Linked DNA regions of Caenorhabditis elegans. The protein of the gene in region 1 interacts with the protein of each later gene in a pairwise test. Each region holds a gene or a part of one and is shown in the gene's direction. Other genes may lie near its edges.

Region 1 (5,801 bases):
ATGCAACACAGAGAACACTTCCAGCTTGTCCTTTAAAATGCATATGAGTGTCGAGAAGAATTATTGAATTTGTCGGGCGATCGTAGATAAAACACATGGCCCTTTCGAAAGCAAGCACTCCAATTGCCAATCTATCGAGTTTCGAGAGATACGGACTGTTTACAGCCATCGACATAGCTGTCACGAGATTGCTAATAAAGTCTCCAGAATAGCATGGGTAGTCAATCTCATGCATCTCGGGCCGCTGAACTTGAATAGCTTCTGGCACAGTGAACGTGTCTCGATGTGGTTTCTTCAAAAATTGGAAGACTGAACCACTTTCCCCTGTCTCTTCAAGATGCTTCTTTTTTAGACTTCCACTGAATCCTCGTCGTCGAGCTGCCATAGCCTTTTCGTGTGTCTCATTGCCATCAACAATTCCGTTAATAAGAACATCGAGGACGCCAAGTGGAAGATGTTGAGGTGTCAAAGGATGCGTGGGTGGGATACAGACGTTCTTGCTAAAAGATGGATTTACTTTTCGATCGCACTAAAATTTCACAAACCTCAAGAAATCGTGAGCAATCTGGACAGTGATTATTGTGCAAGCAGATGAGGGAGTCTTCCGGCCACCATATTTCGATTGAGAATAGCTCAGTGGGAGTGCCCACACGTGGACACGGTTCTGAAAATTATATTTGTTTATGTTACGGTAGTGGGTCTTTTTAGGTATCGTATCCGCAAATGTTCCTCAATTTTTCACTAAAAACACATTTTAGCGCTATGAATTTGGTGAAAGTCTAGAAATAGACGATTACGAAAACTTGTGGTGTACGGTAGCTGAAAGGTTTCAATCGTGCCGAGACCAGGTACAGTATTTCCGCGCACATATTTCTCCATTTCCCCGTACTTTTGGTTTTTTTTTTCAAAAACCCGGAGTTTTAGCGCTATTAATTGCGAAAAGTTGAGCGAAATTGCAAAAGTACAGTGTATTTGTTTCCACTTCTACGACTTCAAAAGAGGGCGCATTCATTCAAAATGGTCTCGTCACGCGCCATTCATTGATTTTTGAAGCGCGTGGCGAGACCAATGGGTGGAGCGTGGCGGGACCATTTTGAATAAATGCGCCCTCCTTTAAAGTCGTAGAAGTGGAAAAAATAAACTGTAGAGGTAATTTTGAAACACATGCGGGTACTGTAGGCACAAAGTTCCGATTATAAAAATCGGGATTCATACCTCAAACACTGCCGATCGGAAATTCGAATTAGCCATCTTATACCAATTTTCTGCAGATTCCTCATTTTGTGTGGTGTAAGTAATTTCGTGTCGAGATCTGTAGCGGTTAACTGAGAACTCGTAATTCTAATACCTTATATTACCTCCGAGTTGTACTCAATCCTGGTCTCGAGACGCACATTGGGGGTTAGTCGGTTAGTTGAGAAGCCGCGAATGCTAGTAATTTGAATAAAAATAATGAATTTAAAATCGCCTCTCACAGTTCTGAATTCTTATCTTTTTCCAAATCTACACTTTTTTTAATAGAAAAATACAGTTTACGTAAAACTACATTCCATGTTGATTTTTCAAGCATTCATTTTAAATAAATTATATGTATTTTAAAAAAAAACACGTTAGAAATAGGCTACCGATAATACAAGAATTAAATTATAAACACTATGCACTCTCACAATCAGTTTATGCCCCTTTTGCACATTACTTCAACTTAAAAAAAAATAATTGCACACTTCCTCCAGGACACAGCATTTCAACTTGGAACAAGATTTCCCATTCGCGACAAATTTGTCCAATTTGCCATTTGTTAAGCTCGGAATACTCTAAAATTTGCCTTGAGTTTAGAAGAAAGAAATGAATGAAATAACACAAAATTTTGTGAGTATCTTTAAAAAAAATTTTTTTTCCAGAATGCTACACTTTTAAAGCTTTTTCGTCAATTTTGTGATCCAAAAAATAGTTTTAAAATATCGAGATTTTCCGGGTTCGCCGACCAGGGCAAATTTGTCAAATTTGCCGGTTTTGCCGGACTCTGCAAATTTTGAGATTTGCCGCACCCCCCCCCCCTCTTTCCCATGTTTCCTTTTTTTGCTCGTCCACTGGCACACAAGGCATAGGTACATGCATCTCTGACTTACCACTAATTTACGACTATCCATAAAAGTCCCAAGTCATATTTACTTTCGTTCTCCTTCCCTTTAAGAACTTTGCCGTCCAGGTTCATAGTCATTATATCATAAACTACTAATGATGGGTGGTGAGCCACACACAGTTCCCCATCACCACCGCCGCCGGTCTATCTTATCACTCTGACCTTTTTTGTCTCTTTCTCTAGGATCTCTCCGGGCTCTTTGTTACTTTCCTGCCTGTAACAAAGACAGACATTTGTGGTTAGAGTTGTCTGCTCTAGTCGACTGGAAAAAATGCTCCCTGAAACTACTACTCTTCAACCACTTCCATCTGTTACGACTATCATGAATGAGCCGCCAGCGAGAAGTCCAATGGAGGACTATTATTTATTTAATCAATTTCAATATAATCAAAAGTAAGTTTTGAAATCAAAACTGTTTTATTGCAGTGCATAAAAATGTTGCATAATGTAATTGTATTATTTTTACGGCAAACTTAAATTGAAATATTCACTATCAACAGAATTATATGGTTTTTACATTACTACCAAAATATTACTTTCCTGTAGTAATGTATACAAAAACAACAACTTTGTTCCAACATGTGACCAAAACTATGTTTTATTGAACTCATGTAGCATAACTGATAAAAATCAATATCGAATGCTCCAAAGTATACTGCTTATAATCAGTAGTTTTCAGTGTTTTTGAGAATAGGAATCTTTGAGAATTATTATATTTTTTAAGGTTTATTATTATAATTTGAGAGTCTGAAAAACGAGTTTCATGCTGGGAATGGCTTAAAGTGTATGACTTAACATGTTTCCTGTTTGGCAATTGTAGGTAATTTCCAACTTTCTCTCAAAGTTTAACAATTTCCTACAAAGCAGTTAAAAAATTCTGTCTACCTTTCGTAACTTTCTTTCAAATGTTAACACTTTTTGCAAAATTTTTGCAACTTTCTGTCAATCTTTGGACATTTTCTGACAACTTTTTGCAACTTTCTGCCAACTTTTGATAGCTTTCTTTTAAAGTTTAACAACTTTTTGCCAACTTTTGGCATCGTCCTGCCAAGCTCTGGCAACTTTTTGACAACATTTGGCAACTTTTTTCCAACTTTTGGCAACTTCTTGCAAAACTTTTGGCAACTTTCTGACAAATTTTAACAACTTTCCGCTTAACTTTTCCTGCCAAATTTTACCAACTGCTTACAAATCTTTTGCCTAGTCTCCTGCACCACAAATGTACTACAAACTCAGCTCAGCTTGAGAGAATAAAAACTCCAACTTTTCAGTCCATATGTCTACCCACCGCAGCCCGTGTACTACAATACTTGGCAAGATGCTTCAACTCATCACTTTGATCCATTCCAGAGTTATCAAATTCCATCTCCATACGAACAACCAATTCAGTCGTCAATGTGTACTACTCCATTACAACCACTTGAAGATTCCAGAATTATTTTTGATGAAAGCTTGACGAAAAATGAAAATGAGCAAAAATCCTTTGTGGAGCAAGATAGCAGTTACGAATCATCTGGAAACCGATTTGGTTCACAGAAGGGAAAGAAAATTGCAAAAGTAGGATTCGAGGGTTTAGAATGAAATAAATATTTCTATATGAAATTTTTCAGGTAATTCGTGATGCGTGCTGCTCACACTGCTCAACAACTACAACCACACTTTGGCGTAAAAATGATGAAGGGAATCTTGAGTGCAAGTAAGTTTATATTTTATTATATTCTTTTATATTATTTCTACCAGGTGTGCGCGGCAACCGATTGTTTTTCTGGCAAGTCGGCAAATCGGCAAACCGGCAATTTGTCGATTTTCCGAATTTGCCGAAAATTTTCGGCAATTTGTGGTTTTGCACATTTTTTTTGGAAATTTCCGAATTTCAATTTTAATCGGCAAAATTGTACGCATCCTATGAATGTTCCTACATCTATTCTGAAAAGTAAGCAAGTTCTGTGAAAATATCTAAAGAAAACGGAGAAAACATTTCAAAAATGCACAGTTTTAAATGTTTCCGTCTTATAAAAAATCCCTCTAAAAACAAAAATCATCAATTCAATTTCCGAAAAATCGGCAAATTGTCGGAAATGAAAATTTCCGGCAAAATGGCAAACCGGCAATTTATCGATTTGCCAAATTTGTTGACAAAAAAATTTGCCGAATGGCACTTGCCGCCTACCCCTGAATTTTTTCGAACATTTAGAACATTTACATTCCAAATCAAAAATTCTCAGTTGAACTTGCTTATAATTTTCGATTATTTTTTAGAATTTCGAATTTAAAATTTTATTAATTTTAATGACTAGTTAAATATACATCATTAGTTCCACTATTAAAGTAATATTTTCAGTGCTTGCAACTTGTATTACCGTCACAACAAAGTGAAACGCCCGTTATCCCTCTGCAAGCAGAAGCCAACTACTCGAAAGCGGCGTCAAGCAAAAAAAGAATAGACAAGTTTGGACTGTATCGCCATTTTTCCAGCATATTACGTATCCCTCTACATCAATTGTACCGTGTTCTATGCGCTGATTTGTATTCGTTTTTTAAAAAAGATTATATATCTATGTCATCTTTTCCACTGATATTACCATATTCAAACATTTGTAATGTCAACTTCATTATTATTTTTCTTAAATAAAACGTTAGAGATACTACTTATACAAATATTGTTACAAATAATAATGTTGAAAGATTCTATGATAAGATGAGAAATTGGTGATATGTGGGATATTAATACAAAAGTGGGCTTTAATGTAGAAATTGAAACGATGAGACCAGGGACAGATGAAACCATCAATTTCTATATTCTGCCAAGCAGCCTCTAATAAATGCCGAGTGTGCAGACTCCGCCCCTCTTTCGCGTTTTTTTGGCTCGCGAAAGAAGGTAACACTACGTTTGGCTTTACAGCGTCACGAAGTTGTCCCAAAGTTGTCACAAAGTTGTCACAAAGTTGTCACGAAGTTGTCACGAAGTTGTCACGAAGTTGTCACGAAGTTGTCACGAAGTTGCCACGAAGTTGTCACGAAGTTGTCACGAAGTTGTCACGAAGTTGGCACGATGTTGTCACGAAGTTGTCACGAAGTTGTCACGAAGTTGTCTCGAAGTTGTCACGAAGTTGTCACGAAGTTGCCACGAAGTTGTCACGAAGTTGTCACGTAATTGTCACGAAGTTGTCACGTAATTGTCACGAAGTTGTCGAACACCAAAGTGCAACTGCGGCGAGCTATGGAAAAGCAAACTCAGTTACAAAGACTTCCTGGAGAACCTAATATCTAAAAATGTCCAAGTTGAGGTCAGAGAGTACAACAATAGAAGGCTAAAAAAGAGTCCCATAGGGAGGAGATGATGATTGAAGTCTCACTGAATGACGAAATTGTGGAAAAGGACTAGTGACTTGTGACCGCAGCAGATTCACCAAGCTGTGTGAGGAGAAATATGTTTTATTGCTCAGGTTTTGTGTGGAATTGTACCAATAAGATTCGAAATACGTGGGTTAAGAAAAATATTTTGTTGTTAGAGAACAATAATTTAATTTGAAAGGCTGCAGAAATTACAAAGAACACTCAAAATGAAAGGAAATTATTTAAATATGGCTTTTTGTGTTTTGGAAAAAAAAAATCCAAATGCATATTGCAAAAAATTTATTTAAGTTCTAAAGATAGA
Region 2 (4,785 bases), on another chromosome or scaffold:
AAAATACATTTTTAAGTCAAAACAAAAATTAAAACTTTCTATTACGGGAACACAAAATTCTGAGAATGCGTATTGTGCAGCATATTTGACGCGAGAATGCGAGACGACCTTCCATCTTATAATCGCTATCCTGTAGAGCTTCCTTTCTCTCGACAATTACTTTCTTCGTGAAATCATGAAGAATATGTAGGCATTTTTCATGAGTCCGTCCGTCTTCTGTTCTGAAAATTACAAATTAATTGTTAAATTATTAAAGATGTTTTTTTTCGAATTTTTTCCTTATTAGATTCGAAATTGTCTGAAAACACCGAATTTCATGATGAAACTTCTTGAAAACTTCTAAAAAAAAACGTTATGACGGCTCGAAAAATGACCTAATGTTAGATAAAATTTGAGATTTGACCGGCTTGAAACAAATTTTTTTACGAAATCACCGTCTAATTTTGGGTATACAATTTAATTATCTTGGGTTTACAACTCGATTTAGGTATTTTAAAGTCGATGGACGGCGAGATTTTTAAATTTTTTTACCTAATCTCGCCGTCCATCGACTTTAAAATACCTAAATGAAGGTGAAACCCCGAGATAATTAACTTATATACCCGAAAAAATTAGTTTCCAGCCGCTTGACAATTCGGTCAAATTTCAAATTTTAATTAATTTTAGGTCATTTTTTGAGCCGTCATAATTTTTTTTGAGAAGTTTTCAGACAATTTTGAGTCTAATAAAGCAAAAAAAAATTCGACTACATCATCTTTAATGATAAATTTAAAATTTTAAAACTAAATACCGTACAAATTGTAAATAAATGAATTCCACATCAACGGATTATTTGTTCGCTTTGAAATCAGCTTATTAATTGTGTGCACCGCCCATACATACTCGTTATTCTGAAAAAAAAAACATTTAGAAATTTAAATAGATGGAAGAATTTCCCGAACCTCCGCGAGTTGAGCACCGATAGCTTTTCCCATGGAAGTTTCGCAGATGATGTCAAGAGTGCAAAGGGTGATGACGGAGAGAACATCAACTTCTTCACTGAAATAAAACGTTCGAAAGAGTTATGTAAGAATTAAAATTCTCACTCTGCTACACCGAGGCAACACAATTTCTGAATCAAAATCTTCGATTGCTCGTTAAAAATCGGCAAGAAATCCTTGAGAATATCATAATGGAAGGTTGGTGTCAATAGTTTTCGCTTTGGACGCCATTGTTCCTTTTGGCTCGTCAAAATACTGATTCCAAGCCATGGCTCAAGCAAAACGTATGCGAACCCTTTGTTCAGATGTTTCGTGGAAGAGAAAATAGGTTCAACAAGATCGGCAGAGTAGAGCATAAGACATGGGAATGGACCAATCCAGAGAAGACACATCCGTGGATCTGGATACAAATATCCCATTCCAATCACTTGATTCATGAATCCCTCTGGATCGGGCTTTGTGATGAGTCCGTGACCGACGATTGGGTATGATCGTGGTTGGTTGAGGTGCTGAAAGTTTATTCAATTTATCTTTAAATGAATTTTGCAATCAAACCTTCAAAACTTGACGCATTCTCAAGTGTTTGTAGATAAGCCAAGCAATCACCGTCGCCGAAGCGAGAAGTACAGCGGGGATGATAACCCCCATTGTAGAATCTTCTGAAATAATTTATTTGAGCGAAAAAAACGAGCAAAAAGCGTTGAAAACTCGAGGAAAAGCCTGAAAATCGCAACAAAACAAACGTTTTTTGATTGAAAATTCAAATTTCTCCCACGCTTTGTCGAGACCTATGTGAAAATTGTTATGCGCCTTTAAAGAGTACGGTAACCCAGAAAAGACGAATTTTTTTGAGAATTATTCGTTTCAGCTTTTTTTAAGACGAGCACAAAGCATCAAAAGCGTTTTAAAAATAAGAAAAACGTTTGTTAAATTTTTTCGATGCTGAAAATATTAAAAAATCGCAATAAAAAGAACGAATTATAAGTAAAAAGTCAAATTTAACTTGCGTCGTGGTGATAGCCATGTGAAAATCTTCAGGCGCCGCCTTTAAAGAGTACGGTAGGCTTGAGAAAGTTCTCGAACGAATTTTTGTTGTTTTCTGATATTTAAATCTTGATTTAATTATTAAAAAGTTCCAATCACTGTTAATTTTTCATTAAAAAAAGTGAATAAAACAAATCCAAAAGTATTTATTTTTGAATGAATATTGTAATTTTTATGAATGATCTCCCCGCGAAAAATCAGCGCAACAATTTCATTATTTTAGGCCCAACAAAATTTTTTGATCGTGTGAATTCTTCTTCTTTGCTGATGTATTAAGCTGATGCTCAGAGAGATTTAATGAATCTTTTTCATAGCTTTATCGGTAAATTATTCTTAATCTGCAAATCACTTGAGCACATTGTTTTCTTCTTTTCCATTAATTTTTTACACCAAAATTTTTCAGAATGTCAGCTCCATCTCGCACCGTTCTTCGCGAATTGACAGCGACCAGATACGTGGTCAACTACAACGAAGAAGATCACCTGGAAACCGCTCGAGCCGGTTGCTCTGCCCTCCCACCACAACCCAACATCAATCATGATGTAATTATCGAAGGGCATGGAGAAGACGTGGAGCTCGTCGACGATCAGAACTACCGTTCCCTGCATCGTATCGATGAGACTCCAAAGCTCGTCGACAAGAAGCCGAGCAAGACAGTCATCCGCGATGAAGCTGTCAAAGTGCTCAGAAGCATTCAAACAATGCCGATTGAAAGTCTTCGTCTCAAGCGCTACGACTTCTTCTCGCAAAGATGGTTCAACACGACCAGAGAATCGGAGAAAGCGCTTGTCGAGCACGTGCTCCTTCATCCCAATCAGCGACCACACTATTTCGCCGCTCAGTGCCGCATGCTGTTGGTCGAGGATATCTCCAGTTTGATTCTGGTTAATTTCTTGAGAATATTTTTCCTGAAAGAATTAAATTTAATCTCAGACTTCCTTCCTGGCCGAGCCGAAAGAGACGGGTCAAAATGTGGTTCGATTCGCGATCCAGGCAACGACTGAAATGCCATTCCATCTATTGTTTGCTATGCTCGAACAACTGGAGATGGAAAACGAAGGATTCCAGATGACAGACAGCTTTGTGGTGGCAACGTTGAACCGATCACAGGGCAGAGTACGAGAAACAGTTTTCTGTTTCATGCCAATAACTTTTTCAGACTACCACTCGTCACCTGCGAACCACAAACTGCCGGGAATACGGAAATCTCGAGCCAGGACTCGATTCACAAGGCCGACTGATGGCCTCGACTGCATCAATCACGTGTTCTATCCGAGGAAAGCGCCACGTGGAAACGAGGATCGTGTACAATAACAACTCGAACGCCAGGAATACTTCAGGGAGAAGTAGAGTGAGTTGAGCAGCAATAAAATCTCGATTTTCAATTTATGAAATTTTCAGTACATCGAATTGGAGCAAACAGTGAAGTGCAAGAACCGACGTGTGCTGATTGTCGAAGATCCAGTCGAAATCCACGAATTTGAGATCGAAAAGGACATGATCCCGCTGGGAAAGGGAATTGTGCCAGTCGAGGACCTGATCACGTTCCTCGAGACATTCAAACTGGATGAAGAGGACGAGTAACTCCAGACATATGTCCTATAATTTGTAATGTACATAATTCTGTATTATTGTATCAGTGGTTCTTGTTGAATATATCAACTAACTTTCCCCTTTATTTTATTTTCCTTTTTTGTTTTGGTCGTTTCCTGTATATAGATTCTCCGCTGCCCCAAACTATTTTGCTTATGTTTAACATGTATATTGCTTGAATTAACATTGCCAGAATATGAACTGGTTGATTTTGCAATCTTTTTAACGATGAGATGAATTATATATTACATTCAGTAGTTGTCTTTATAATATTTGGAATTTAAATTACTTTACTCCAAAAAACAACTTCTTTTTACTTTACTCCAAAAAACAACTTCTTCCGGTTACTCATATCCGTTTCTCCACACTCACCTTTGATCGTTTTCCAACAACTTTTCCTCCTCTCTAAATTTTGTTCGAGTTCTCACTCTCACCACGTGCGGGGCTCCAAATAACAGCTGCTGCCTCTGAAATGTCATCGCGAGGCTAAAGATTTCCATTTCTCACAAAATTTGCCGTTTCGGCATATAATCTGTGCTCTGTGTTGGCTGGCCGACGATGATTGAATTGGCTCATTGGCTCATTTATGCGTACTTGTGAGTTTTAAAAATGGTTTGCCGGTTTGCCAATTTGCCGGAAATTTGCCGGTTTTCCAATTTTTCGGAACTTTTCAATCCCGGCAATTTTCCGGAATTTTTCCGGTTTGCCAATTTGCCAAAGCTTTTCAATTCCTGCAGTTTGCCGGAATTTTGCCGTTTTGCCAATTTGCCAGAACTATTCAATTCCGGCAGTTTCCCGATTATCCGGAAATTCGCCGGTTTGCCAATTTCCCGGAACTTTTAAATTCCGGCAATTTGCCGATTTGCTTAAAAATTGCCTGTTTGCCAATTTGACGGAGCTTTTCAATCCCGACAAATTTCCGATTTGCCGGAAATTTGCCGGAGTTTTTCAAGTTGCCGATTTGCCAGAATTTTGAAAATTTTCCGGAGCTTTTCAATTCCTGCAATTTGCCAATTTGCCGAAAATTTGCCGGTTTCCCAATTTGCCGGAACGTTTCAATTCCGGCAATTTCCCGATTTTCCGGAAATTTGCCGGTTTGCCAATTTGCCGGAACTCTTTGTTTCCGGCAATTTGACGGAACTTTTCAATTCCGGCAATTTGCCGGAGT

Evidence for each region. Proteins that work in one complex are often made in the same cells at the same time.
Region 2: the proteins of elt-7 (region 1) and memi-2 interact in a two-hybrid assay, tested with the Caenorhabditis elegans proteins (one large-scale study listed by BioGRID).

The regions. Positions count from the first base shown.
Region 1 is NC_003283.11:4,768,300-4,774,100, forward strand, and holds elt-7 (Transcription factor elt-7), read left to right. Parts: upstream 1-2,370; 5' UTR 2,371-2,414; coding exon 2,415-2,536; intron 2,537-3,414; coding exon 3,415-3,700; intron 3,701-3,753; coding exon 3,754-3,839; intron 3,840-4,484; coding exon 4,485-4,587; 3' UTR 4,588-4,787; downstream 4,788-5,801. Other genes in the region: C18G1.9 (FERM domain-containing protein), read right to left, coding at 1-500, 546-664, 1,216-1,312, 1,359-1,396. UniProt on the Caenorhabditis elegans protein: Transcriptional activator that binds to the consensus sequence 5'-[AT]GATA[AG]-3'.
Region 2 is NC_003282.8:13,398,149-13,402,933, reverse strand, and holds memi-2 (MEiosis-to-MItosis transition associated), read left to right. Parts: upstream 1-2,427; 5' UTR 2,428-2,428; coding exon 2,429-2,908; intron 2,909-2,957; coding exon 2,958-3,140; intron 3,141-3,183; coding exon 3,184-3,375; intron 3,376-3,425; coding exon 3,426-3,608; 3' UTR 3,609-3,866; downstream 3,867-4,785. Other genes in the region: cyp-31A5 (CYtochrome P450 family), read right to left, coding at 36-221, 796-890, 942-1,038, 1,086-1,489, 1,536-1,628.